Linked DNA regions of Diceros bicornis minor. The protein of the gene in region 3 purifies or fractionates together with the protein of the main gene of each other region. This does not show direct contact. Links are inferred from orthologs where the notes say so. Each region holds a gene or a part of one and is shown on either strand. Other genes may lie near its edges. The genes, in order: VAMP8, VTI1A, STX6 and VTI1B.

What was found.
Region 1: the proteins of STX6 (region 3) and VAMP8 purify together in Homo sapiens (affinity purification with mass spectrometry; 3 studies listed by BioGRID and IntAct, counting the BioPlex papers as one, with this or other methods). This does not show direct contact. The link is inferred for Diceros bicornis minor from reciprocal best matches to the Homo sapiens genes STX6 and VAMP8.
Region 2: the proteins of STX6 (region 3) and VTI1A purify together in Homo sapiens (affinity purification with mass spectrometry; 3 studies listed by BioGRID and IntAct, counting the BioPlex papers as one, with this or other methods). This does not show direct contact. The link is inferred for Diceros bicornis minor from reciprocal best matches to the Homo sapiens genes STX6 and VTI1A.
Region 4: the proteins of STX6 (region 3) and VTI1B purify together in Homo sapiens (affinity purification with mass spectrometry; 3 studies listed by BioGRID and IntAct, counting the BioPlex papers as one, with this or other methods). This does not show direct contact. The link is inferred for Diceros bicornis minor from reciprocal best matches to the Homo sapiens genes STX6 and VTI1B.

The regions. Positions count from the first base shown.
Region 1 is NC_080751.1:4,416,347-4,423,373, reverse strand, and holds the start of VAMP8 (vesicle-associated membrane protein 8), read left to right. Parts: upstream 1-4,002; 5' UTR 4,003-4,102; coding exon 4,103-4,105; intron 4,106-5,468; coding exon 5,469-5,627; intron 5,628-7,027. UniProt on the Homo sapiens protein: SNAREs, soluble N-ethylmaleimide-sensitive factor-attachment protein receptors, are essential proteins for fusion of cellular membranes.
Region 2 is NC_080745.1:76,031,954-76,039,997, forward strand, and holds the start of VTI1A (vesicle transport through interaction with t-SNAREs homolog 1A), read left to right. Parts: upstream 1-4,954; 5' UTR 4,955-5,328; coding exon 5,329-5,422; intron 5,423-8,044. Other genes in the region: palmitoyltransferase ZDHHC6, read right to left, coding at 1,032-1,123, 2,975-3,241. UniProt on the Homo sapiens protein: V-SNARE that mediates vesicle transport pathways through interactions with t-SNAREs on the target membrane. These interactions are proposed to mediate aspects of the specificity of vesicle trafficking and to promote fusion of the lipid bilayers.
Region 3 is NC_080743.1:86,161,521-86,169,354, forward strand, and holds the start of STX6 (syntaxin-6), read left to right. Parts: upstream 1-4,830; 5' UTR 4,831-5,055; coding exon 5,056-5,090; intron 5,091-7,834. UniProt on the Homo sapiens protein: SNARE promoting movement of transport vesicles to target membranes. Targets endosomes to the trans-Golgi network, and may therefore function in retrograde trafficking.
Region 4 is NC_080763.1:16,317,923-16,324,821, reverse strand, and holds the start of VTI1B (vesicle transport through interaction with t-SNAREs homolog 1B), read left to right. Parts: upstream 1-3,837; 5' UTR 3,838-3,953; coding exon 3,954-4,068; intron 4,069-6,899. Other genes in the region: RDH11 (retinol dehydrogenase 11), read left to right, coding at 486-588. UniProt on the Homo sapiens protein: V-SNARE that mediates vesicle transport pathways through interactions with t-SNAREs on the target membrane. These interactions are proposed to mediate aspects of the specificity of vesicle trafficking and to promote fusion of the lipid bilayers.

The DNA.
Region 1 (7,027 bases), on a different chromosome or scaffold from region 3:
GTTTTGGGAAGATAATAAGCAGCCCCAGGAGGAATGGATGGGAACAGAAAGGTCAGTTTGGAGGTGGATGGAATTGTCCAGAGAAGAGATCCTGCTGGCATTACCTAGGAAGCAGGAGCTGGTGTAGAAAGGAGGGGGTGAATATGAGTGACATGACGAAGATGGAATCAAGACTTAGTGATGTCCCATTGCGTGTGTAAGATGACTGTTGGAGGTGTCTATGGACTGTGCAGGGCATCGGAAAGGAAGCAATGGCAATTGAAAGAGAGGTCAGGGTTGGAGGTAACAGATTGGGGGATTGTCCGTAAAAAGGTGTTACAACACATAAAGTAAAAAGGTGTTACAAACATAAAGGCGTTGCACTTCCCTATGGAGACAGAGTGTCTCAACCTCGGCACTATTGAAATTTTGGTCTATACAATTCTCTGTTGTGGAGAGGGCTGTCCTTTGCATTGTAGGAAGTTTAGCATCCTTGGCATCTACCCACTAGATGCCAGTAGTACACTCCGCTAGTTGTGACAACCAAAAATGTCTCCAGACGTTGTCAAATGTTCCCTTGAGGGCAAAATCAACCCGGTAGAGAACAGTTGCTCTAGGAGAGAGTATGGAGTCAGCAGAGAAGATGGCCAAGGGCAGAACCTTTGTGTTCTAAGAACACAGTCAGAAAGGAAGAGAACGCATTGGGAGAGATGTGGGGTGACTGTGTCACAGATGGGGTGGCCAGTTGTGTGACAGTCTACAAAGAGGGATTTGGAGATAAAAGAGGCCTTGGCAGTGGTGAGAGCGTTATGATTCTTCAGGAAGCAATTCCAGTTGAGCCTCCTGACTGTGCCTTTTCCTTGTTCTATAGCCTTTTCCCTGAGAGGTACAGGAGTAAACTGCCCACTTGGGCCATAAATAAGAAGACTGGGATATATACCACTGTACCCCAAAGTTTGCCTGGTTGCTTTGCAGGCTGTTAATTTTCTTCTTCCCTTATTTTCTCATTCCATTTTCTCTATTAGTCTCCTTTTTCATCTGTAAAGTGATTTAGCAGAAATATAGAAATATACACCTATATCATTTAATCCTAATAATAACCTTGCAAAGCATCTTTCATTCTTTTTTTTTTTGGTGAGGAAGATCGGCTCTGAGCTAACATCTGTGCCCGTCTTCCTCTATTTTGTATGTGGGACGCCACCACAGCGTGGCCTGATGAGTGGTGCATCGGTCCATGTCTGAGATTCGAACCTGCAAACCCCAGGCCGCCAAAGTGGAGTGCACAACCTTAACCACTAAGCCACCAGCCCCTTTCATTCTTTTTTTTTTTTTTTTTTTGTGAGGAAGATCAGCCCTGAGCTAACATCTGCCAATCCTCCTCTTTTTTGCTGAGGAAGACTGACCCTGAGCTAATATCTGTGCCCATCTTCCTCCACTTTACATAGGACACTGCCACAGCATGGCTTAGACAAGCAGTGCGTCGGTGCGCGCCCGGGATCCGAACCCCGGGCTGCCGCAGCAGAGCATGTGCACTTAACCGCTATGCCACCGGGCCAGCCCCTGCTCCTCTTTCATTCTTATTCCCATTTTGCAGATGGGGAAACTGAAGCTCCCAGAGGGAAGTGGCTTGCCCAAGACCACACAGCCAGGGAGTAATAGAGCTGATAAGCAGATCTTCTGATCACACAGGGACTGAGAACACTCTCCATCACGCTATGGTGGCTTCTTTGGCTGCAACTCCTACCACCTAGCATCTTTTCGTTACAACTACTGACACTCCATTTCTCCTGAGATAGAGCCTTCATTGACTGTAGAGGAATCAATGACTTTCATTTCTCTTCTTGTACTCTGCCCACAGGACTGTTTCTGCTCATAGCAGAAATGTTGTTCGGTGTCTCACTGAATGTCTTACCTTGTGAGGGTGTTAGCAAGATGGTCTTCTGACAAAGGGTAACATTATAATGTTTGCGCAGGTGAGGCCAAGCCTGCAGGGATTCTGCATGGTGAAGATGAAGGTGAAGAAGTTGCAGGCCCAACTGTGGGCACTTGGGAATCTCCCTGATGGTTGCTGGGTCTAGGCCAAGGGTCAGCTCCCTCAGGGACACCAATGTATGTCCAAGGCTGGCAGTTGCATGTCAGACCATAGTAACTCCTCAACCAGATTCCCACCCTGGGGTTCCTCTTCCATTTCTTCCTGTTCCCCTCAGTCCTCCTACTCTGGTCCTTTGTTCTTGGTACCTCTCATGTTCCCCTATCCACCACCTTACTTAGCATCTGGAATTCTTAATAATAGTAATCACAACAGCCACCATTTACTGAGGGAGTTTTAAGTGTCAGGCACAGACAGGGAGGTAACTGAGGCTTAGAGTGTTACGTAAGTCCATCCAAGGTCACAGAAATATTAAGGCAGATCAGCGTGTCTAAAGAAGTATAGAAATATAATTTGAGGGGCTGGCGAGGTGGCATAGTGGTTAAGTTGGCATGCTCCGCTTCAGTGGCCCAGGGTTCACAGGTTCGAGTCCTGGGTGCAGACCGACGCACCACTCATCAAGCTGTGCTGTGGCGGCGTCTCACATACGAAAAGAGCAAAATAGGCGTGGATGTTAGCTCAGGGCCAGTCTTCCTCACCAAAAAAAAAAAAAAAAAAGAAAAGAAATATAATTTGAGTCACATTTGTAATTTAAATTTTTCTACTACCCAAATTAAAAGAGAAAAGAAACAGGTGAAATTAATTTTATCAACTTTTTAAATTTAACCCAATATATCCAAAACATTATTTCAACAAGTCATGTAAAATTATGAATGGGATATTTACATTCTTTTTTACATAATAAATCTTTGAAATCCGGTTGTGTATTTTACTCTTATGTCACATCTCAATTCAGACTAGCCACATTTCAAGTGCTCAACAGCCACATGTGGTCAGTGGCTGCTGTATTGGACGGTGCAAGGATAGATCAAGGATTCAGACCTACCTCCACTTGGCCATGTTGTAGCCTTTCTAAGGATGGTGAGGATTGGGGCAGCCACATTCTCTGTGAAAGCAGGCTGGTACTGTCCACCAAAATTCAGGTCTGCAAAATATAATCATCTAATTTTATTAGACCTTTTAAAAAATGTCTAATTTGTGAGGGAAGCTGACATCTCCCCCTTGGAACTGGGATGGGACAGGAATGTTTGTTCCCTTCTGCACGTCTCTGTTACTGTTCTTCTGTCTTGATAAACACCATCCAGGAAGAGTGGATTTTCTCTGGCCTGGAGCCCGGTTGGTGGAAAAATCCTTTGCCCTGGGCCTCCTCTCTGGTTTATAGGGCAGTCCTCTGACCATTTCTGACTGGGCTCACCAACTCCCATGGTGGCCCCTGAAGGGAAATGCAGGATTGTTGAATTCTGGAAGGAAAGGAGCCATTATTTCCCAATTTGCACAGTGGACAGTCCTTCGGTCCAGGCACTGTGCTAGGCACATTACATGTGCTACCCTTTTACTGCTCACCACCACCCTCTGAGGTCAGCATCAGCACCTGCAAAACCCCAGAGAGGTGAAGAGATTCACTGGGGTCACGCAGCTAGTAACCCAGAGCTATCTGATGCCAGAGCCCAGGATCACAGCATTCCATTTGGGGGTTTTAGTGCTTTCTGTCCACCCATGGACATGGGAACAAGGGTTGTCCAGCAAAAAATGTTCATATCTGCATTCTGTTTCCATGTGAACTAGGCCTGGCAGGGTGCTTATGATTGATTTCCGTCTCTAAGAATTGGACTCAGATATTCAGGACATAAAAAAAGGAGATGGCTGCCCTTTCTATATCAGGAGGCCCAGCCTCAGGAAACCTAGGAGGGCTGCTTGATTTCTCTTGTTCCTGACGAGTTAAAAGACCTTTGTTGCCGGGGAGCCCTGTTGCTTTAAGCCTAAGCCCTGGTTTGGGAGGAGACTAGAAGGGCAGTGGAGGGTGTCCGCCTACCTAGGGGAACCTGTGTGAGGTGTGGCTGGAGCAGGCTCAGGATGAGAGGTGGACGGGGGCGGGCTGAAAGTTGGAGCAAGCAGGAAGTGAACCAAGGGCCGCCCCAGGAGGAAACAGACTAGGCAAGTTCTGCCGCTGACGGGCCCCAGCTGCTCGGAGACATGGTGAGTGAGCTGGGAACTAGAAAGGGGCTGATTTAAAGATGAGCCAGAGGGGGCTGGGGGCTGGGGATCGGGAAAGGAGAGTTGGTGGCAATGTCAGAGGGTTGGGCCAGCACTGACTGTGGCCTCTCTTCTTAGACAGCTTGGCTGCAAATAGCTCTGAGCTGCACGGGCGGGTGTTCCTCCTCCTTCTATACTCCCTCCCCTGACCTCAGTGCTGGCCTGGAGCAGTGCTTCGGTGGGTGGGCGTGGGGGATCCGAATTCCAGGCAGAGAGTTGCTGAGCAAGCGGCCCTTCCTTCATCTTCTCCTCCAGCCTGCCGGCCGACCGGCCTGCTGTTGTGACACTCCTGGGCAGCGCCTCTGCTGTTCCCAGTGCAGATTCCAGCCCAGCGGCGGGAGCTCTTCCCCTCTGCCTTTCACTTTATCCCTGTACAGAAACTCCCAAAATTTGTCTCTCCACAAGTCCAAGGAATTGGCTCCCCCCCATAAACATGAGGAAGAGAGCTAAGGGTTTGTAAAAGAACCAGAAATTGGTTCTTTGCGATAATCTAATTTGGCCCACACCCCTGGCCTGTTTCTGGAGGTCCTGTGGGTCAGAGAGGGAGGAGCTTGATAACGTTTTGCCTCCTTCTTTAAAAACCTTATCATGAAGCCTGAGGATGAGGCCTCAGCCAGGGAAGACTTGCCCTGTATTTCCCCCAGTGCCCAGGCTGCTGCTTTTATTTAATATCTGCTTCAGCAGCAGTGGCGTGGTGCCTGCGCATGGTGCTAGGTGGTGGGGAAAGCAGAAGTTTGTGGCCCAACGGCTCTCTCTCTTGGGGCCTTGTGAGGGACTTGGAGCCTAGTCGCTGTTGGCCTGGGTCACAGCAATTAGGCTGCCCAGGAGGCCCGAGGCAGAGCTGCTCTCCAGCTGCTTTCTTGGAAAGAGGGAGAGTTGGGCTAGGTGAGGGAATTCTGCTGGCCCCACAGACATTTTTAATAAGGAACCTGTGGGATCTGGGAATTGGTAAATGGTGGCGGGGTTTTGCATCGTGAGATGCCAGCTCAGCTGTCTGCTCTGACCCTCTCCGAGGAGCAAAGAAGCAGTGGAGAGGGTCTCAGTGGTGTGCTTCTTTTCCTTGTCAGGGACCCTGAGAACCCAAAAAGAAGTTTGAGCTAGTCTGTCTAGCAACAGCTCTCATCCTCTGGGGCTTAAAAATGCATTTATTTTTGATTACATGAGTGAGACGTGAAAACATTCTCTTTGTAAACAGTTCAAGCTTTACAGAACACTAAAGTCCATGTTAAGTCTTCCCCTCCTCTAGCCTCTGAGGCTATCAGTTCCTCCACCACTTGGCCCAATTAACCCCTGTGTTGCTGCCCAGGAGGAAGGCAGTGGAGGCGATGGAAATGATCATGTGCGGAACCTGCGGAGTGAGGTGGAGGGAGTCAAGAATATTATGACCCAGAATGTGGAGCGGATCCTGGCCCGAGGAGAAAACTTGGACCATCTCCGCCACAAGACAGAAGATCTGGAAGCCACAGTGAGATGGGGAGCTCACTGGGGGCTAGAAAAAGAGAGTGCGGGAGGGTCGTTGGGGGTTTAGGGATTGGTGGTGTTGGGGGCAAAATGAGCAGGAGGGAAGTCTGCCTTTTCACCTGTTTTGGGAATTGAAGTGAGCTGAGTCCCCACTTCTGATTCTACTCTACTCCACTGATTGGCACTGGGGTCCAGGGAATGTGTACAATGACTGTGGTTGGGGGGTAGGGCCTGACCCCTGGAGGTATTTTCTGAGACAGATGGCTCAGTCAGCCCGTGCATTCTTGGGCTTCTCTCCTGTGAAACCGATTTTCCCTTTGAAGGCTGCCCTTGACAACCATTTGGACCTGACCTCCCAGGGCAAAAATATTGGCTTTGGTGGGGCTGGCCCGGTGGCATAGTAGTTAAGTTTGTGCACTCTGCTTCAGCAGCCTGGGGTTCACAGGTTCAGATCCTGGGTGCGGACCTACACACTGCTCATCACGCCATGCTGTGGTGGCATCCCACATACAAAATAGAGGCAGAGGGGGCCGGCCCCATGGCTCAGTGGTTAAGCGCGTGTGCTCCGCTACTGGCTGTCTGGGTTTGGATCCCGGGCGCACACCGATGCACCACTTCTCCGGCCATGCTGAGGCCGCGTCCCACATACAGCAACTAGAAGGATGTGCAGCTATGACATACCACTATCTACTGGGGCTTTGGGGAGAAAAAGGGAAAAAAAGGAGGAGGATTGGCAATAGATGTTAGCCCAGAGCTGGTCTTCCTCAGCAAAAAGAGGAGGATTGGCATGGATGTTAGCTCAGGGCTGATCTTCCTCACGAATAAATAAATAAATAAAAACCAAAATAGAGGCAGATTGGCACAGGTGTTAACTCTGTGACAATCTTCCTCAAGCAAAAAGAGGAAGATTGGCAACAGATGTTAGCCTAGGGCCACTCTTCCTCACCAAAAAAAAATATGTATTGGCTCTGGAAAATCATCCTAGGGCCTTTGGCTTGCTCCAGAAGTTGTTAGGTAGGCTAGGGGTGGAAAGGTGTTAGAGTCTTGCTGAGCCGGCTGGAGAAAGCGCTGGAAATCACAAAGGCTAGGTGAAAGCCTTTGATCCGGGGCCCACTGCTAGGTGAAGGCTAGAATATGCCCCACACATCTTGCTAGATCTCAGTTTTCTCTCTCTCCAGCCAGCGGCTCAGGAAGGGAGTAACTCTAAAGTTCAACAAAAGCTCGAGCCTAAGGTTCCAGGTTCACGGCAAGAGTCTAGCTATGGCTTTCTGGGTCCTGTGTAATCTTGGATAGAGCTCCTTTTTCTCCCTGGGACTTAGTATTTCTTCCCACAACCTAACCTGGGAAGCATGGCCCAGGGAAACTTAATTTCTGCCACTCCAGTTGGGAGAGGAAGAGCAGTTT
Region 2 (8,044 bases), on a different chromosome or scaffold from region 3:
ACAACAGAGACTCAACAAAATCACTTATAAATCTCCACTGGGGTTGATGGGGCCTAGCAGACGCTTGTAACTTCCTTCCTGTTCTCATCCTTTAGATGTGGAATCTGTGAGCTAAGCAAGCTAACTCCAGAATAGAAGATGTGGTACAATAAGCAAAGTCTTAAGGGTTCCCCTAAACCTCAACATTTTCAACATAAATTTCTTATTAATCAGTGGATATAGCTGTTCATTAAAAAAGGTTCTAGCTTGGAGCCGAACCGGTGGCGTAGTGGTTAAGTTTGTGCACTCTGCTTCGGCGGCCTGGGGTTCGCATGTTTGGATCCCGTGTGTGGACCTACCCACTGCTTATAAAGCCATGCTGTGGCAGGCATCCCACATATAAAATAGAGGAAGATGGGCAGAGATGTTGGCTCAGGGTCAATCTTCCTCAGCAAAAAGAGGAGGAATGGCAACAGATGTTACCTCAGGGCCAATCTTCCTCACCAAAAAAAAAAAAAGGTTCTAGTTTATTTCACATTTTTTATAGTGATTCAGTTTTCTTCCCATTAAGTTTTTTACATTAAACACTTGTGATAATAGGCACCTGGATTCATTTATTAGATTTGTATAAAGTGTAGGTGTCAGTCAACTAAATAACAGAAAAAGCAGGTCTGTTTTATAATTTAGACTCAGAACAACTCTAAAGCTAGTCAAGATGACAGTTGACAAGCACAATTAATTCTGATCTATAGAAACAACTTGAAGGTATAACTTTTTAACTTGTTCTTGGCAGGGCAAGAAGCAAAGTAAATCTGTATTTTTCTAGAAGAATCTTTTCACTTATAACAAAAAAGAGTGAGATTTATTTATTATCAGAATTGATAATTGAAGAGTAAAATGGAGATTATGGACACAAGTATTCTGACAATATTTTTTATAAACTAGCCACCTTGCAGAGAATAAAACTAGGATTGATGTGGTAGAAGGAACAACATCAAAAGACCAGTAATCAAGTGGATCAGTCGCCAATGAATAGCAAAGACAGACAGTACCTGTTACACTTCCTGCAGTGATGTGACCGTGGTGCCTTGTACGCTTGGCAGACTTTACAATACTGGAGGTACATGCTATCTTGAGAATTTTCCTTGGCAGCAAAATATAAACAAAAATACATCAGATATCTGACCCTAAGTAATAATAAGTCAAACCTTAGGAATAAATACTTTCCTATGGTTTGATTTTCTTTTATGGGGATGGGGAGGATGGAACCTTAACTTGTATCTGCAGCTGTTTTATTTGAGCTAAAATATTTTTAAATAATGAATTTCTGGTAACAGCAGCATCACTTTTCCAATTACCCAGAAGTCATTTTTAATTTCTCTTCTCCATGCTCCATCCAAATCCAGTGTCACTGAGTATACATACTTGGTTCTACTAAGATCCAAAATCTCAGTAGAATGGGAGGAGTTCAGAAAAAAAGGTAGCTGACAACTTGGCAGGTATTTTAGAGTGGGACTCAAACACCAGAGTTGATACTCTTTTGGAAATCAGGCCCCTCCCTTGGACCACTTTAACTACTTCCTAACTAGTTTCCTTTACTGTAGCCTCTCTAATCCAAAGCGTCTATTGTCAGAATAACATTCCTATAACACAACTCTGATTGCGTCAGAGCTGTGCTTGAAAACCTCTAATAACTCCCTATGGTCTAATTTCTCATGTATTTGAGGCCTTCCATAATCCGCCTTTGTTTCAGCCTTATCTTTACTATATAATCTCTTTTCCAGCCAAACTAGGCTGTCCATTGTTTCTGAATCCATGCTACCACCATTCTCTCAACCTGAAATGCCCTCTTCCCCATCTCCTGTGGATAATTTCCGCTCCTCCCTCAGGTCTCCAGCTGAAAACGATCAGTTCTTCTAAATTCAACAGCATCCATCACATTCTACTCGATAGTTATCTGCACAAGTGCCTTGGTTTGTCTTCTCACTTATAAGGTTCTTCAGAACATGAACTGCATTTTACCCACCTCTGTACCCACTTCAAATAGCACACTAGTGTTCCTCCAACTGTAATGTACCTAACAATCACCTGGTGATTTTTTTAAACACAGATTCTGATTCAGTAGTTCTGGAGTGGAGCCCAAGATTCTGCATTTCTGACAAACTACCAGGTGATATCCCTCAGCAAAGAATATGAAAATTCATATGCATAAACTTTCTAACAATTTTTAAAAAGCCATAAATTGATTGATACTATCAATCGAGTGATAGTATACTTCCCAATATTATGATTTCACCACAATGATTTAAAAACTTTATGACTTAAACCAGCAGTTTCTAAAGTGTTTTTCTCAGTTTTGAGGGATGTTAATGTATTACATGAAAAAAGATCCTGGAGTTAAACCACACTGTGATATTATGAAAAGTGTATGATATGCAGTGTTTCCTAGAAACTTAAGAACATGGACTCACCACCCTCCCTCCTTTTGTTTTTTTTTTTTTTGTGAGGAGGACCGGCCCTGAGCTAACATCCAATGCCAATCCTCCTCTTTTTTTTTTTTTTTTGCTAAGGAAGACTGGCCCTGGGCTAACATCCATGCCTATCTTCCTCTACTTTATATGGGATGCCGCCACAGCATGGCTTAAAAAGCGGTGTGTTGGTGCGCACCCAGGATTCGAACCGGCGAACCCTGGGCCACCGCAGTAGAGCGCGCACACTTAACTGCTTGCGCCACCAGGCTGGCTCCCTCTTTTTTTTTTTTTAAATGCAGAAGTATTCAATGAAATTACTTGGGGAAACCCTAATTTAGATCAATATCTTCAAACTGGTATGAAATAAATTCTTTGAGCTTTAAATAATGTGATTAGAATAATATGCTTAGTCTCTACCAAGGCAAAGAGCAGGCTGTGTTTGATATTATTGGTTAGCAGATAAGGCAAAAACTAAATATATGATTATCATTAGAGTTCATCACATTAAGGAATCTTTTTCTTACCGGTTTCCACCCCAGAGGGACAAAGCCAGGGCCAACAAACATGGCATTGAAGTAATTATAAAGAATCATGACAGTCCAATTTATCAACATGATGAAATTCACGCTTCCTCCAGTTGTATGTAAGGGCCAATACCACAACACAGAGTCAATCATGGCCATCGTAGAACATATTGCTATAACACTAAGGGCTATGATGGGTCCCCAGTGACACAGTCTCTTTAATTCTTGGAGATTTTCAAACTTCACAACTGAGCAGAATGTACCCATTTTGGTGAGGAAGAACGCCTTCCTATTTTTAAAGAATTATAGATTTCCTTTTTCTGTGCACACATTTCCATGTGCCACAAGTCCATGTGTGTTCTTTAACTGTCATGCCTTCAAGTTGTGAAACGGCAATGCAGATTATGCCATTTGTACTGTTACACACTCAGAGCTCTTTATCTTAAAGAGGAGAATCCAGTATCTTGGTTTGAAACCCAATCTAAAGAAAACAAAATAAGAAAGTTTAGTAAAACCTTTTATTATATACTATATTTATCAACTCCAATAATCACCTACACTAAAGCATCTTACAAATGCACTACTACGGGATGAGTATCTTAAATGTCAAAAAGAATGTTTTTCAGGCTGGCCCAGTGGCCCAGCGGTTATGTGCGAGTGCTCCCCTGCTGCAGCCGGGTTCGGATCCCAGGCAAGCACTGACCCACGGATGGTCAAGCCATGCTGTGGCGGGGTCCCATATAAAGTAGAGGAAGATGGGCACAGATGTTAGCCCAGGGCCAGTCTTCCTCAGCAAAAAGAAGAGGCTTGGCAACAGATATTAGCTCAGGGCTAATCTTCCTCATAAGAAAAAAAGAACGTTTTCATCTTATCCAAAATAGGGTTCAAGTCTGAATGGCATGTAAACTGGATACATGATTCTAAAATATACTTTTTATTCCTTTGTTCCCAACTTGTCAGAGGACTGTGACTACCCAACGTTTAATGAATGGTTTGAGGAGACAAAGTTTTAGAGCTGGGAAGGAGGCCTTAGAGTTCATCTAATCCAGCTTCCTTCTTCATGGAAAAGAAATTGGCCGGGAGGAGCTAAGTGATTAGACCAAGGTCACTAGCAACAGCAGACCTCAGAATAGAAACCAAGTCATCGAGCTCCCTTTACAGAGTTCTAAACTGCCTCTTACCTATCTCGAATTAAGTCAAGTACGATCCAGACATGGTCTATACCATTTGCCTGCGCTTGCCTCCAAAACACCATCATAAGGGTCTATTTGGGCCAAGGGTACAGAAGCGGGAGAGTGAAAGCAAAGACAGTGCGAGGAGAGGAGGGAGGGAGAGAGGTGTGTGTGAAATCACGACTGCAGGCGTATACGAGAACGACCACGAATGAGAACATTGGAGAAAAAAAGAAGAGGAAGTGCCTCTCGGAGCGAACGCCGGCAAAACCTGTAGAAGGGTCTTCCTAACTAGACTGGGGTGAGTCAGAGAACAAGGTCTGAGGTAGAGGATAATAAAAACGTCCTAGCAACAGATGCCCACTGCCTTGTGCCTCAGTTTCCCGCTCGTGCCGTGGAGCAGAGCGCTCGGATCCTCACTCAGGAGAACATGTGGGTGTTGGTCTCAACATCTGGAGAGTCTGGCCTCACTCGGGTCGGCCGAAGACCGCCAAAATCATGGTCACATCCCCCGCCTCGACTCCCACCTCAGACTGGTCATTGGTGCCCGCGCCTCTGCCACCGCATTTCCGGCGGCCTGGGCTCACCCAGAACAGGTTTTCTCTTCCTCGGATAACTCCGTCATGGGTACCCCAGTCCAGCGCAAGCAGAGAGCAAATCCTGGTTGCGAGAGGCTGGAGCGCGGGCCGCCCACGACCGGTCGGTCTCCGCCAGCGCCCTCGCCGCTGCTCTCCCGCGCAGGCCCGGTGCGCAATCTCCGTGACAGCCACTTCCGGGAAGTTCTCCACATCAAACGTCCCGCGGGAAGCAAGCTCTTGTGACTTGTATCTTGAGGAGCCGGAGCCGCTTTCCAGAACTTAAAGGAGCAAAAAATTGTTTCCAGTGATCCCTGAGAACACGCATATTTTCGGAGGCCTTTTGGGGCCCTAATCGAAGTGCTTTTTCTTAACGAATTTCTTAATCGTGAAGCCTGAGCGGAAATTAAAAAGCGCACGGCAGCCCGATTTCCAGAGGACCGAGATTGTGACGAACAACCAGGAAGCGGCCGGGCCGGGAGCTGTCGCCGGTTCTGCGTTCTGCTCTCGAGGGTGCCCCCCGGGGTCCCTCCACGGTGTTCTCCTGTCCCGCCTGGCCCCTGCCACGACCTAGGCTCCGGCCCGGGCCGATCACTCCGGAGCCACCATGTCGTCTGACTTCGAAGGCTACGAGCAGGACTTCGCGGTGCTAACTGCCGAGATCACCGGCAAGATTGCGAGGGTCCCCCGACTCCCTCCTGGTGAGCCCTGGCCCTGCCGGGGGTGTGGGGGTGGCCCGGAGAGAGCGGAGGCTCGGGGGCGGTGGAACGCCGCCTGAACAAGTGTCTCTGAGGCGCGAGGCGGGAGTGGAGCCCGGGGGCGGTGCTGGAGCCCTTCCGGAGGGATGGAGCTTACTTAGTTGAGGCCAAAGGGAGAGTCCTTTGGGGTGCAGTGAGTGAAAAGAGTCTTCGGAATCTGAGCCATCTGGGCTCGAATCCGGACTCCAGCGCCTTGTTACCTGTATAACCTTGGGAACGTTTCTCTAAGTCTCAGTTTTCGTTTGTAAAATATACAGATGTGAGTATTCAAAGAGAATGAATGAACGTACCTAGACCATGAGTCTGCAGTATACAGCAATGTTGTTTTATTAGTAATAATATTATTTTATGCGGCAAAATAGGGTTAAGAGCCACGGTGTCTGGATTCAAATCCCAGCTCTGCCACTTAGGAGTTATGGCGCTTAGGCAAGTTTCTTAACCTCTTTCAACTTTCCTTCTTGGTAAAATGGGGAGAATTGTACGTCTCTCATAGGGTTGTTGTGAAGATTAAATGATTTAACACATGGAAAACCCTTTCTTGGTGTTAGCTGCTGTTATCATTAGTATTTTTCATACCCTCAACCCCATTTATTATTTCTCATCCTTCTTGGCAATCTGTAGGCCAATTTTATGTAAAACTTGGTACAGTTTTTCTCACTTTTAAAATTCCACAACTGCCATCTAGAAGTGCTTTTATTTTTGTATTTTAGCACGGCTTACGTCCCATGCTAGACTGCCAACTATGTGAAGGTAGGATTGACTTAACTCTTGGCATTTACTTAGAGCCCAGAAAAATGTTTAAGTAAATAAACAGATGAATATAAATATGATATTTTGTGATTTTTGTTTGTAAGACATCGTTTGAGGATTTATCTTTCTCTAAATACAGATTTAATTTAAGTAGTTAGTTGCAGATAAGATTGTTACTTTTTGGCTTAGTTTTGTTAGGGAAATTGGAACATCATGGGACTGCTAGACTTGGCCTTACCTGCCTCTAGAGTGTAACATGTAGAAAAGAGGATGCTCATTGATCTGTGAACTGGTGGGCAACTTCTTTCCCACCTTGTTGGTCAGTCCTTGATGCCAGCAATAATTTCTCCTGAACCAGGTTGTCATTCCTCTTTGCCTTTCCCTACTTCCCTCAAAACTTATGTGTTTATAAATAATTGTCTTCCTTTATTTCTTTGTTTTTCTTTCCCCCCCCCACGTATTTTCTATTAATAGGGATATTTGCTTGAAGCCAGGATCTCTGAACTTACACCCCACTCATCTCCTGAAGTCCCAGTTAGTTCTGGAGGAGGTGGATCTTGTCTTAAGGAGGTTTATGAGTCCAAGTGAGGGAACAAGAGGAGAGGACGAAGGTAGCATATACCACCGAGCTCTGCTGCCTCAGAGATTTTTGTGGAGAAAGTGGCTGATGGCCTCATCACTTCATGATACATCACCTCGCCTCTTCTCTTCAGTTCTGCTTCTCTCCACTGCCCAAGATCATCTTGATTTTTGTTGTCATTGTTGTTGGAGACTACTTCCTTTGACTTGAGTCCCAGAGCCTCAGAATATCAGGACTTAATGGTTTCAGTTGGATTTTTGCTCAATTTTAATTGTAATAGTGTTAACAGTGAAACATTTTTTGTTTGGGCTAATAGCTTTTGTAGTCTGAGGGTGTTTTATAAAGTAACAGAGTCATCCCTGGGTGCAAAGTTGTAAAAACTATTTCCAAGAAAACAAATTTTGTTACAATTGCTTTTTCCTTGCCTTTATATTTTAATGTAACCATTCTTACCACGTAGAAGGAAACCTTTGAATTAAGTACCTTAAAAATAAAGTCTTGACTCTTCTTAAGTACATATAATGTAAGGCCCAAACATAGCAGCTACATTAGAGTTGAAAGGAGACTGTATAGCTGGCACTGGAAAAATGCTTACTGTCTTGACATAGTAATTCTTAAACATGCAGTGGTTTCTCTCTTAATAATTACTTGTGCTTGTTCCCTTTTAATCTGTTTCTAATTGATAAATATAAAAAGGTGAAAAATATATCCATGTAGTTATGAATTTCAGTTGTATGTTATGTGGACTAACGAATTAATGTGTACAACCATGGCAAAAACAGTCTGATTAAAAGTAATTATAATCTCTCTCTCTGGACATCATTAGTGGTTGACCCAGTGGAGGTAACTGTAATTTTATTGAGTTAAGAAGGTTAAAAATTGGAGCGAACTTTTAAGTCATAGCAGTTCACTGCACAACTTATTAACTTATTTAAATTGAAGTAGGGGGGGTAGGATTGATTGCAATTCACTTCAATCTCTGCTGTGCGTGTACAATGTATTAGATTGTTACTTCCAAAGAGAGTAGAAAAGATTGAATATTTTAAAACTTTATTTTAAAAAAGAAATTTGATTACTCTGTGATATGTTTAAACAATAAAAAGACTCTGCTCTTAGACTAAAGTGTTTGAATCTTAATTAATTTTGGTAATTGGACTAATGAGATGGATCAGTCCCTTCTTAGGCAATACTCTTATGACACTGTATTTGAAATTTGATTTTAGTGATTAGTGTTC
Region 3 (7,834 bases):
TACCTACGATCTATGTAACACTTTTCTCCCTTACTCTTATCTTGTTTCAAAAAGGATTTAAGGTGAACTCAACAACAAAAAAACAAACAAGCCAATTAAAAAATGAGCATAGAACTTGAGCAGACATTTCTCCAAAGGAGATATACAAATGGCCAATAAACCCATGAAACAATGCTCAATATCACTAATGGTTAGGAAAATGCAAATCAAAACCACAATGAGATACCACTTCCCATCCATTGGGATGACTACTACAGAAAATACACACACATATACACACACACACACACACAGAGAAAATAATAAGTGTTGGCAAAGATGTGGAGAAATTGAAACCCTTGTGCACTGTTAGTAGGAATGTAAAATAGTGCGGCCAGTATGGAAAACTGTCTGATAGTTCCTCAAAAAACTAAAAATAGAATTACCATATAATCTAGCAATTCCACTTCTGGGTATATACCCAAAACAATTAAAAGCAGGGTCTCAAAGAGATATTTGTACACCCACGTTCAGAGCAGCATTATTTACAATTGCCAAAAGGTGCAAGCAACCCCAGTGTCAATCAACGGACGAATGGATAAACAAAATGTGGCAGATACATAAATGGAATATTAGTCAGCCTTAAAAGGAAGGAAATTCTGACACATGCTACAGTATGAATGAACCTTGAGGACATTATGCTAAGTGAAATAAGCCAGTTACAAAAAGACAAATACTGTATGATTCCTCTTAGATGAGGTATCTAGAGTAGTCAAATTCCTAGAGACAAAGTAGAATGGTGGTTGCCAGGGGGTGGGAAGAGCGGAGAATAGGGAGGTGTTTAATGGGTACAGAATTTCAGTTTTGCAAATGAAAGAGTTCTAGAGATTGGTTGAGCAACAATGTGAACGTACTTAACACTACTGAACCATATAGTTAAAAATGGTTAAGATGGTATATTTTATGTTATGTGTATTTTACCACAATTAAAAAATTTTAATTATTTTTAAAAAAGGATTTAGGGTGGCTTACAGTATCTCGTACATTGCAAAATGCTTTCACATTTATCACTCCAGTTGATCCTTAACACAACCTAGTGAGGGAGCAGGTTGGGCTTATCATTCCCAATGGAAAGTAGAAGAGCTCCTCTTGCAGGGCCTAATGGAACTCCGACAGCTTTTAGGGGGAGGGGGTGGCTCAAGTCTATCCTGGCATCCTTAGCAATAGGATGTGAGTTGATCCTTTCTGATCCTTATCTTCATGAGATCCATGGCCTGGTGGCCGGTGCTCTATTCTTTGAATCGGCATCTCCTATTTCAGCAAAAGATGCCTCGCAAGACCCAGCAAGCTCCCTCCATCGCTCACTCTCCTTATCTGGAGACTCGCTCAGGGCCCAGATCTTCTCCTGGATGCCCTCTCAGGACTCTACAGAAAACTCAGAGTTAGAGTGTTACCCTCCTCCAGCAAAATGAACAGAATCTAAGCGTCACAGTTTGATGCATTCTGACAAATGCATACATCTGTGAAACACACACTCCTCTCAAGATACAGAACATTCCTATCACCCCAGCAAGTTTCCCTTCCCAGGCAATACTCCCCACCCCAAGGCAACTGCTGTTTTGATTTTGCAACTCTATGAGAATTTTTTTTTTTTTTTGGTGAGGAAGATCAGCCCTGAGCTAACATCTATTGCCAATCCTCCTTTTTTTTCCCCAAAGCCCCAGTAGATTGTTGTATGTCATAGCTGCACATCCTTCTAGTTGCTGTATGTGGGACGCGGCCTCAGCATGGTTGGAGAAGTGGTGCGGCAGTGCGCGCTGGGGATCCAAACCCGGGCCACCAGTAGCGGAGCACGCACACTTAACCACTAAGCCATGGGTCCGGCCCTATGAGAATTTTTAATTCTCATTTTTGAGGGAATAAGGTGGATAGGATTAGAAGGCTTTTTACTGAGTATTCTTCCTGAGTTATTGTTTATGCCAGCACCCAGAGCCAGTTAAACTAAAAAAAAAAGAAAAGAAATAGCTTCCTTTGTTTCTCCTTGCATTTTAGCTATACTTCCCTTTTCTGGGGCAATGGAGCCAAGGTCTAGTTTGGTTTGAAAGAGGGTGAAGGAGGGTGACATATTACAGAAAGGGACACTCCCCTCTGCACACACATTTCATATCTCAACCCTCCACTATCTCCATTGTTGGTACTTTTTCCAAATCTCTAATTATGGGAATTCTCCAAGCCTCTGTCCTCCATCCTCTATGTTTCTGCTTATGAAACACTGACCTCTCATTTGTGGTTTAATTAATAAATTCATGGAATAGATAATAAGAGGCTATGCTAGGCATTGGGGTGATAATGACATTAATATAGTCTCCCCTCCCTCTAGGAGTTTACAGTTTAGTGGGGAAAACCAATATGCTAGCAGCTGATTTATATCCCCCTAAATCTAATCCTCCTCCTGTGCTTTCTTTCTTGGTTATTGGAACTAAAAAGCACCTGATTTCAACTCCAGAACCCCGCAGGCCTTCCTCCCTCTTCTTTTACCACCCCCACCCCACCCCCACACTGAACCAATCAGTCACCAAGTCCACTGATTAGGTTTCTAAAGTATTAAATGTATCCCTCCTCTCCACTCTAGTGGCTGCAAGCCTGGCTCAGGACACCCTCGTTCCTCCTCTGGACCACAACCACGCAGCTGACCTCCCAGCCACCGTGGCAGCCATCTCAAATGCCACTCTGATCCTGTCAATGCCCTCAGCTGCCATGGTCTACAGAGCACATCCACAGTTCTCAAATCATAATCAAGGGCTCTTGGTAATCTGACCCTGCCCATCTCCCCCAGCCTTAGCTCCTCCTGCCACTCTCCGGTTCCTGCTACTCCAGCAACACCCTCTGCCATGGCCCCCCACAGGCTGCCATGCTGTCTCCTGCCTGCCTCTAGTCACTGTTTAGAACCCCGCCTCCACACACAAATAAACTGGTATCTTGTCTCTGTGTTTCTCTGGCAACCCGTGCCCTTCTCTCATTGTGTGTAACTGCCTGTCTCTCCCACCAGGCCGACAGTTCCTTGAAGGCAAGGATCAAGCCTGTTCATCTCTGTGCCTCCAGTGCTTAGCACATAGTAAGAGTACCACACATGAGCCAGGCACTGTTCTAAGCACCTTTCACACATCAATTCATTTAACCCTTACGACACTCTATGCAGGAGGTGTTATTGTGGCATCCATGTCACAGTTGAGGATAGTGAGAGATCAAGCAGCTTGCCCAAGACAACAGTCAGGAAGTAGCAGAACTGGGATTTGAATACAGGCAATCTGGCTCCAAGTATGGCTCTTAACTACTATTCTCATCTGCCCCTCAACTTAGTGTGTTTGTTGAATGAATGAATGGGGATCCCTTTCACCTCCCCATCTCAATATGTCCATAACCAAATTAAACAGTTCTCTCCCAATAGCCTCCTTACCCACATCCACCCTCCACTGCTCCTCCAGGGTCTCAGAGAAGCCTGGAGTCTCTGACTTGCACCTCTCTCCTCCCCAATACCATTCAATCTCTTGTCAGGTCTAGGTGTTTTGTTTTTCCTTTGAAATATCTATTAGATTCGCTTCTTCCTCTCCATTTACAATTGCTGTCGGTCCTAGTCTGGTCTTCCTCCCTTCAGGCCAGACGACCACTGCAGCTTCCTCACTGGTTTCCCTGACTTCACTACCCAACTCCATTGGGGTCTTGGGGTTTAAGGCATTTTTATTTAACCTTCACAACAACTCACAAGCTAAATATTATTATTTACATGTTATAGATAAGGAACTGAATAACAGAACCCAGGTTCAAACAGGGTTTGCTCGGCTCCAAGGACTCTTCCATCTCCAAAGAGACTGGTGACCTTGGGCAAGTCACTTATACTCCAAGAGTCTCAGATCCCTCATTCATAAAATGGGGATAATAGTAATTACCTCATCCTGGGGGCAACTGAGATAACACTTAGCACAGTGCTTCAAACACAATAAGTGCTCAATGGTTATCAGCAATTAAAGTCCACAAACCCCACAGCACATCTAGCATAGGAGTTGGCTAATTGCTCTGACCAAAATATTTTCTGGAACAGCTCTTGAATCATAGCTGAGAGGAAGTTGCCATACCTGGCCCCTTCTCTGTCCCTCAAAGGTGCTCTCTCCTGTATGAAAAAATTACCTTAGTGGTCACTTGCAGAATACACACGAAAAGAAAACACGTCCCCATCTGGAGGAAAGCGCACAGAATCTGTGGCTTTGCCCTGTCCAGGCTGTGTGACCACAGGAAATCTTGAAACCTCTCTGAACCTTTCTCATCGACAGAATGGGAGTAGTAATACCTTCCTCCCAAGAATATTGAGATAACGCACAACTTTTAGCGCATTGCCAGACTCGTGGTAAGACCTACATAAAGAAGTTGTGCAACATTATCATAGTCAGATAAGGTATACGAGCACGCTTTATTGTAAGACGAGGACGAGATGGATTTATAAATCACATGTTATCAAAATCAAGTACTGAATATAGAAGAAAGGTAAAAGAATTGTGCAATCACGTACTGAGGCGTAGCATGAAAACACAGCAGCCCTCCTACGAGGCAACAAGCACTTCCTCGCACCAAATGCTGAGGGGCTGGTGGAGAAAAGAGCAGCCCTCCTCCACCGCCCCCAAAGCCCCGCCCCCAGGGTCGCCTGACGCGGTGGTCGGGCCCGTCGACGAGGGGCGGGGCCGACCCTGTCACGTGAGCGCGGGTGCGGAAGTGGTGCAGCGGGCCGCGTTCGTGGTTGGCCGCGGCCGAGGGACTCGGGGGCGGGGTCAGGGCGTCCGGACGCGCCGGGAAGAGCCGGGGGAGGAGGCAGCGCAGGAGTCAGGAATTCTGTCTGTGGTGCCCACCGAGCGCTGGACCAGCGACGGTCCTGTGCACCTGGCCTGCGCGCGCGCGCTGCTCCAGGTCCCCCAGGCCCAGGCGCCGGCGGCTGCGGGAGGCCAGTGGGGTGTGCGGAGGGAGGCCAGGAGGGCGCGGGCGCCCTGTGCGCGAAGCAGGCGTGAGGCGGCCGGGGGCCGGGACGCCATGTCGATGGAGGACCCCTTCTTTGTGGTGAAAGGGTGAGTGTCGCCGAGGACTCCGCTGGAGGAGGCCAGCCCGCACCTCCCGGCTCTGCTCTCTGTAGGGGGAGGAGAGACAAGTTGAGGCTGGGGAGGGGACGGCTTAGCCTTGAGGGCCATGACCAAGCGTCGAGACATCCCTCCCCGTCCAACCTGGACTGTGAAACCCGTGCCCCCAACCAAGCCCCTGGGGAGGGTGTCCCCCTTGGCCTGTGCGCTGCGGTACAACTTTGGGGGTCGAGGGGTTCGGCAGCTCTGCAGATGGGGAGGGAGACACAGGTCCCAGCCCCAACTGGGGCGGTAGTGGAGCACGGGGCCCCGCTTCGAAGGAGAGAAAACAGCATCTGGGCAGGAAAAGGGAAATGGCCCTCCTGAGCTTTGTAGTTGGCGGTGGACGGGGGTGAGCTCCCATTGTCCATTGAGTTTGGAGCGCTCGCCCGCAGGCTGGAGAGACCACAACAAGCCCGGAGGCGTCTGAGCACGTTTGCGGGCGGGGAGGGGGGGCGACGTTGATCTGGGAGTCTGGGGAGCAGGGCTCCGGAAGACAGCTCAGTTCAGTGGGGGAGTTCTTACTGAGTAATGTGAGGGGAGGAAAGCCGTCGCTCATACTCGGTGATGATGTTGGAAGGAAAACAAAATGCAATCAGCCAAACCAAACTTTCCTCAGTTTCTATTAGCCCCGGGATTTTCCCACAGTGCCGAAGGAAATGAGTGCTTTCTTTTTAACTCCTGATTTCATCCAGGCCATTTGACAGGTTTCCCCCATTTCTTCTTCTTCTGCCTCACTGACTAGAACTGCTTTAACTCATTTTTCCTTCTGAGCTGTCCTGACTCCGTCTTTGATTCCTCGGTTGTTTGGAGATAGAAACTTTAAGTGCACTTTGTTATATGAGCTTTGTAGGCATTAAACAAATGCAAGAAAGATCGTTCTGATGTTGTAACTTGTCAACTTTATGTTTTAAATGTCAAACATAAAAAAAATCTGTGAACTACCAAGTTCCTAGAAGATCAGTACTAATTATCATAAAGTGTCTGTTTGCTTTCACATAGTTGCTACTAGCTTCCTATTTCTGCAGTGGTAAAAGCTGACCGGTTGCTTGGGTATATGTGTGTTCTTTTAAGAGTTCTTCTCGGAAAATTTAAGTGGTACTTTAGGTGAAATGCTTTAGTATCCATGATACCAAAAAACATGTTTATGTACTATTTCCCAGAAAAGTTTTTTCTTCACCTTTAATTTAGATGGGAAAATGCTGAGCTGTAGATTTATTAGTAATATGTGACTCTCTATCTGGAAAATGGATTATATTAAAAGGCTTGATTTAGGGCTTAATTTTTAAATGTTAAAGCTGTGTTTTAAGCATTTTTCCCTTGAATGAAAGTTCTTAAAGCTTAGGTTGCACAAGTTATCTCTGGCAGTCGAGACAAGAAATAATCAGCACATTTTTATTTGTTTTATTTTTAATGGAATTTGTGAAAACACTCAATTGCTCTGCCATCTTGACATTTCCTTCCTGATAGTATCCAATACAGTCTACGGATGCTTGCTTGTTGATTAGATATCACTGCTTTATTGGAACATCGGCCTGGAGTCCTGGTTGACTTTTACATCACCTTAGCTGGTGTCCTTAAGTTGTCTGACGGAAAAGAGACTCTCTCAGTACCTTCTGCTGCAGAAAAGTAAAATCAGCCACGTGAGTGTCTCCAGACTGTGTGACAGCATATTTGGGGAGCCATGTACCTCCATGTATTAAAAGTACTGAAAATGAGTCACACAATGTGGAAAAATTAAAGACACCTAAATTATGGCCCTTAGCCTAGGAGTTTATAGTCTAATCTGAGAAACAACTCTTTCCAGCATTAAAAATGATAGGTGGTAAAAGATTAAGCGCTGAAGTGAATGCTACAGAAGATAAGTGCCCAGAAGTTCAGAGAAAGGCAACTCATTAGGAATTGTTATGACTGAGAAAGCTTTTGGAGGTAGTAATAGATCTTGAATGAGGTTTTGAGATGAGTGGAATTGAGATAATTGGGGCCTGTCTTATCTGGACTCTTATCAAAGAGCCTCTTAATTGTTCTTCCTGCTTCCAGTCTCTTGCCTTTTTCATCTGCCCTTGGTTCTGTTGGATCAGTGCTGTCCAATAGAAATAAAATGTGAGCCATATATGCCATTTTACATTTCCTAGTGGCCACATTAAAAAAAGAAACAGGTGAATAAATTTTAATGTCTTTAACCTAATAGAGTCAAAATATTATTTCAACATGTAATTAATATAAAGATAATTAATGAGGTTTTTTTTGTATCAAGTCTTCAAAATCTGGTGTGTATTTTATGCTTACAGCACATCTCAATTTGGATGCTAAATTTTCATCAAATACTTGATCTGTATTTAGAGTAGATTAAACTTACAGTTGAAAAAGTAGATTCACATACCCAAATTATTCCAAACATACTTAAAAGTTTTCCAATAACTGAATTGCCTATCAGTTTTTAAGTTTAAAATTAAAAATTTAGGTCCTCAGTCACACTAACCACGTTTCAAGCGTTCAGTAGTTCAAGCACGTGGCTTCCATATTGGGCAGCACAGGTGTAGCTTTTCTAGAACCCAAGCAGGGGTTCCCTACCTAACATCGTTTAGTGGTTGCCTGTTGCCTACAGAATCAAGCGCACACACTTCATGACCTGCCACCCTCCTCTATCCTGCACTCACTCTGCCCACCCTCAGCTCAGGGCCTCAGCAATGCCA
Region 4 (6,899 bases), on a different chromosome or scaffold from region 3:
TTCAAGTTTTAAAATAGTTATAACTTCAGGTAGACCAGAAATAAGTAGCTTTTTTTTTTTTTTTTTACCACTCCAAGCATCTGTGACCAATGTAAATAGCAAGATCTCAGCCACATGACACTATACAAGGTCCTCTAGAATGGACCCCAGAGACCTATTTGAACAAGATGGTCAAGCACAGGTGTCAGGCTGGCACTGATATTATAGTTAAATATATACATACAAAGGAGAATATAAAGACTAAATGATATGCATTATATATCAAACAAAGCATTGTGATCAGAGGTGGTCTAGTGAGATCTAAAATGGTAATTACATTTTCTCTGGAGTAAAGATTGGAGAATGAAGAGAGAGGACAAACACTGGCCCTGTGAAGCGCCTAAAGGTCATGTCATCCCTGGGTCCTTTTTCTGTCTTATTCCTTATCCCAGGCAGAGAGCAGACTTCTCAACCCTGTGCTTTAAGCCTCTCTCTTTCCCTTCCAGTGAGTGCCATGTGGCATGGGTCTCTGCCAAGGCTCGTAATGAGACAATAGCAAGGCGGCTATGGGACGTCAGCTGTGACCTGCTGGGCATCACTAGGGATTGACAGGTGGTGGCAGTTGGACGCAAGAGCAGCGTGCAGCAGACTACTCAGTACTCCCTGCCAGAATGTTTCTCCTTCAGGATGGCCAAAACCTTGAGCACAAAGAGAGAAAACCTTCCAGCCTTTCCTGCTTGATGTCTGATGAAAGTCCAGGGTACACTGCCAGATTCTTCTAAACACCTTGCATTTGTCCAGGTTTACTTTGCTACTGTTACTACCAGAGTTACTAAAGATATCATAGGGTAAGTACACCCTCATATGACCTGAAAGCTCATATTCTCCTTCTGAAATCTACTACCTAGGAGAACTTAAGCTATGGCAGGGCTGCTTTATGGCAAATTGAACTAGTTTCTACCCTCCCTATTCACAATGAAGTTCTTCCCAACCAACCAACCTTCACTTCAAGAGAGCCACACTGCAGCCTCAGCTGAACTCCAGGAGTCACAGTGGCTTGGCCCAAGAGCAGGGCTTGTCCCTCACCTCTTAAGAAAACCATCATGATGCCAACATCTAGATTCTTTCAGGAAACTCTTAACTGAATCTGGATTGTGACATGGTTTTATCTCTGTCCACCTAGAACCAGTGCTGTTAAGACACTTTCCCATGCCTAGACCACAGAAGAGCTACCTTTTCTAAGAAGTTTGTGGGGTTTTGGGGGAAGGCAGAAATAAAAATCTATTTAAATTGTCATTTTCCTGCTGTTCCTCAGGCCAGCAAGGGGGTAATGAAAGGAGCAGTATGGGAAGCTGGGCCACCTACTTCAGTTACTGACCCCAGACCCGTGGAGGCCTCCTCCTTCATGCTTTAGCTTCTCTTAGAAAACCAGAAGAAAGGAAAGGCTATCTGGTGATTGTCACTGCGTATATCTTTCTGTATTTATGCAGTTGGGAGTATTTTCACAAAATTCAAAACAGCCACCAGGGAACAGTATTAAACTGGACCCTAGTGCAGGTACATGATAGCGATGGAGCAAACCAGTGTCATCTAGACTTGGATACAAATGGATAGAGCTGCAAAGGGAAGCAGACTCTGTGCATGCTGGTAACTAACCCACCAAGAAGCACATGGGTAGCAGGGAAGAAGTTCAAGAAAGAGAAGAATCCTGGAAGATAATGCATGCATTGAAGGGCTTAGTTAAGGATTAAAAAGAGAAACCCCAGCTACAGATGGTAATATCCAGCTATAGAAGAACTGAGGATGAGCACTTGAGTTAGTAAGACTGACAAGGTACTATCTTAACACGCACCAGTCAGCCAATGTGGCAGAGAATAACCCCAAACAAACAAAAATAAAACAAAAAAACCCAATTCTTTAGTCAGTAAAATTATCTTAAGGACTGATATTGGTAATTACAGTCAATTTACTAATCTTTCAGGGCATTTCATTATCTTAATAAGATTAAAATGTCTATTTTCTAAAAGTCTACATCATATTTGGAGAACTTTTATCAAAAGTAATGCTGTCAAAGGATGTCTGAGGAATTGGTAATGTGCCCATCACTTGTTGGGAGTATGGTTTTCTAATACAAGTTTGTGATTTTGTTGGACTGACAATTATATGTTCACTTTGGTGGGGAAAAGAGTTATAGGATCACAGTCTTTGTGTATTTGTAAATTAATAATCTTTTGTTGAACTTGTTTTGACCATTAAATTATATATTTAGAAATGGTTATTTTATGGAAAAATTTGATAATAGTGCAGTAGAATAACTGAATTAATATTTTACCTGATTTATATAGAACTGTCAATGATAAATAAACATTTTTTGATTATCATGTTTTTATTTACCAGAATAAAAACTGTAAGAATTAAACATAAGCTTAATTAGAGTCAACAGAAGAAAACAATTAATTATAGTCAAAAGAAGAAAACATTTTTCATTATTACAGTTACGCAGTCATTTCTCATTCTGAGGATAATTTGTCCCAGAGTCCAGCCAGAGTATAGTCTCAATTCAAATACCATTAATTTTGGTTGTGTGATTTGATTACTCATTCACCCATTTTCTACTTATCTTGTAAGGTCACTTTTTCCATCCCAGGCTATTTATTCTCTCTCCGTTTTGTACCTGCCCCTTCTATAACACAATGCTATGGGACATATCACAATACACTGCCACTAACAACCTCAGACTCTGCTGTCTCTCTATGCTCAATAAATATTAGGAGCTCAACAAAAGTTTGTTGAATCAATAGTCAATGAACTCAGTCTAATAAAAATAAGGATGCAGGAGATATAAATCACAAAATCATTTCCCCCTGAGCAGTCATGTGTCTTTTAATATGTGTGGGCAGTTTTAAGTATTCCGTTGCCAAGCAAACATTTCTGAACCGGTTCCATAGGCAAAGCATGAGGAATTTCCTGCCACTTGAACCATGAAAACGTGGAGTGCAGGTAAGGACTTTGTAACTGTTAACACTACAACTTGCGGAAAGAGACCTGACGAAGGGGTCCGCCTTGCTCACCACATTATATTATATATTATTCTTCACTAACACATGCCCAGACCCCTGCACAATGACTACGCTGAACATTAACAAACACCTGCTGCGTGAACAAATGCACCAGGCGAGCCCGGCCGCTAGAGGCTGAGGGCGTATTTTGGGGGTCACACTGCCCGGCGACCACTTCTGAAAGCATGTGACCCTGGTCACTTGACCTCCCCAGTAAAAGTGCTTCACCGCTCGAGGGCAGGCGGGAACCCGGCCCGGCTATCTTTCCAGGGCTGAAAGCTAACATTAGTCAGGACGTGAACCGAGGAAGTCAGGGTGGCCAAACAGTGCGCCGACGAGGAAGATAACGTCCAGAAGCACACTGATACCAAACCGCTGTGCGTCAGCGTCATCCCCGGCGGGCGCTGCGCGGCCAGAGCCACCGCCCCGGGCAACCAGTGACCTCCGAGTCGGAGCGTCTTCCGCTACGAACTACAGCCCCCGGCATGCACTGCAGCGTTCCCTCCCCCTCGCCAGAAGGCGGGGCCCTGAAGAGAGGCGGCCGCGCTGCCCGTCCCGCTGGTCCCCACAGTCCTTCCCGCTGCGGCGCTCTCCCCAACCCCGGACTGGGTATTTCCGGGGCCCCGGGGCTGTCGCTCCCGCCGGCGCGCCGCTGCCCCCTCAGGACTCGCCTGGGCAGCGCAGCATGCCGGACTTTCCGTCAGGCTTTCGCGCCCGGCGCTCCCACAGTGACGGCATGAAGGGAGTGGGCGTTCCGACGCGGGAGGACCCCGCCGCGGCCCCGGAAGCTCCTCGTTCAGGGCGGCCGTGGCGGCGGTCGCCGTGATGCCTGCGGCGCTGGGCGGCTGACCGCGAGGTAGCAGCGGGCTCCGTGCCCAGAATCTCGGCGGCCGCTGCTAGAACGCGGCCTGCGCCATGGCCACCTCCGCCACCTCCTCGGAGCATTTCGAGAAACTGCACGAGATCTTCCGCGGCCTCCATGAAGACCTACGAGGGGTGCCGGTGCGGCTCCTGGGCACTGCCGGGACAGGTGAGGCGGGGGCGGGCCCAGCCGTGGGGAACTCGGCTCCGCGCGCCCTTGTAGCAAGAGTCCCAGACCCCGGCCCTTTTCTCTGCTCTTCGTCCTCAGACACGCCCCCTAGGGCTGGCTGGGTCCTGGCGCCCAGGATCTCCCTGCAGCCACTTAGGGTGCTCAGGTGTGGACGCCGGAGTGTCATCTCCTTGGGACTCTCCCTCTTAATCCTCCTATAGCTTTCAAAATTTTCTCGTCTCATTTGCACTGTGGCAAGAAGAGCATAGGAAACCTTACATCTGCGGTTCTCTGTTTCAGTAGAATTGTGTTTTTTTTTTTAGCTCTCTGTATTTTGTCTTATGCACTTAAAAGCATTATTCTCAAGAGAGGTCCGTAGTTTTCACCAGACTGGCAAAGGATCCGTAGCACCAAAAGGGTTAAGAACCCAGAGGAGTCATAACTTTGGGGGTTGGTAAATATCAATTTTGGGGGTTGGTCTTAAAAATCAGGATTGTGGCGTCTAGCTATGGTCCTCTTATGAATTTTCTGTTTAGACTATTTCCTGCCCCTTTTCAAAATTGATTTCAAAATACAGGTTGCTGCAAGCTTTGCCTGGAGAAGCTAGAGTTTTGCAGTGAAATCCACAGGAAGACCTGCCACAGTTATTTGCCTCGGAAAAACAGATCTTGATGTCAAGGCAGATAAGATTTTGTTTTATTGTTTTTACTTAAGGATCAGAGCTTGAGTGTTTGTTCTGTGAGTTACCCAAGATCAGATGAATTAAATGATTCCAGTGAGAATGAAATTCATACGTTTGTTTAACATATTTACTGGGAGAGGCTGCTGTGTGCCAGACACTGTTCTGGATGCTGATAATATTTCAGATTACAGTGAAAAGATTTACAAATCCCCGTTCTAATGAGTCAATGATAATATATAAATATTAAGAGGCAGTGTTGAGGGCAATACAAGAAAATAAAGCAGGGCAAAGGAATAGAGAGTTGGGAGTGGGGAGCTCTAATTTTAAATAGGGTGGTTGTGAAAGGCCTCTTTGAGGTGGCGGCATTTGAGCAGGGACTTGAATGAGGGGAGTAAACCATGCAAAACTCTGGGAGAAGTGAGTGTCAGGAGGACAGAATAGCACTGCAAAAGTCCTTACGCAGAAATGAGCTTGGTATGTCCTAGGAAGAACAAGAAGGCCCTTGTGTTTGGAGTGGACTGAGCAGGTAGTGGTAGTAGATGAGGCTGGAGAGAGGTTCGCAGGGCCAGATCGTGTGGGGCCTTGTAGACCAAGGTGAAAGATTTATATCTTTTTCTAAATGCAATGGGATGCAATTAAAGGATATTGAGCAGGAGAGTGATGAGATCTGATTTACAAGGTGGAAAAAGAGACAGTTTTTTCAGCCTGGTGCTGAATTAAATTTTGCACTGTCCATTTCTATAAGGCTAAATAATGCAAAAGGGCATTCCATTTTGAAAAATAGAAAACTGAATTAGTTATATTCACCTTCATCATCTACTTAACCTTCTCATTCGTACAAAGAGGATGATCAAAAAGGTGTGAATTCCTACCCAAGTACAAAATACTCTAACACAAGTTGCTGGTAACAGACTTAGTTGTTTAATGGGTAAGTAAATGTAAAACACACATATTCCCAGGTTATAATAAGAATTTCAGCAACTTTCAATTTCCCTATTCATACTGCTCAATAAATATTTGTTGAATAAATTGAATTTTATTAAGTAAACACACTGGGCCTCATCTCTGAATCCTTTTTTTTTCCTAGTTCTGAGACTACTCCATAAGCTTTCCAGAGATTTAATTTCCATCGTGAATTATTAGGCACTGAATAATGTACATAATACAGCCCTTGCATTTAGGTTATGTGCTTTAATTTAATTCAGTCATTTTTCAATAAATATTTATTGAGAATTGTTACATGTCACTCACTGTTCTGGGCCCTGAGGAGTTCCAAGAGTTCTTGCCTTCAATGGGAGCAAATTTACAAGAAAGTGTGTGATGAGCCCTAAAATAATTTTGAGACCATTAAAAAAAGGTTAACTTGGGCGTGGGGGAGCAAAAAGAAAGGGGAAGAAAGGGAAGCTTCACAGAAAGGAGAACCTTGAACTGAGTGTGAGGCATTGGATGGGAGTTGGCCAGACAGAGGGGAAATGGAACGAGGCAACAAAGGAATAGAAATTGAATGCTCACAGCTGTGACTGGAGCTTAGGCTATGTGTGGGAGAGTAGTAGATGAGGAAAGTAAGACACAGCCAGATTGTGAAGGTACCTAAGTGTAACATTGAGACATTTGGACTTGATATGGAGAATTAGTAAAGGATTTTAAGAAGCTGACTAATATGGTCAGAGTTTATTTTAGAAGGAGAATGTTGGTGGCTGAGTAGAGGATGCAAGAGAAGCACAAGAATCTGGATACAGGGGACCATGTTAGGAGCCTTTGAGGGAGTCATCTAGATAACATGGGAATCTAGAGAATCCTAAATCCAAGAGGTGAGTCTGAGGCAGAAATTAACCAGACTGATTGGACATGGAGAAGGAGGGAGAAAGATTCAAGGGTGTCTGTATTTTCTCCCTTGGTCAATTGACGAACATAAGAAATATAAGAGTAGAAGCAGGCTTGTTTGGGTTGTGGATGAGAACTTCAAGGGTCCTTATAGAATTGAGAGCATAATGTATGTCAGTTCTAGCCTGACAAGATATTTCTTCTTCTGCCATTAAAAACAACATTTACGAAGACGATATCATGTGAATTGAGAGGCAGTATAGTGTAATATTTACCAGCAAGTATTCTAGAGCTAGACTCCCTGGATTCAAATCCTAGATTCACC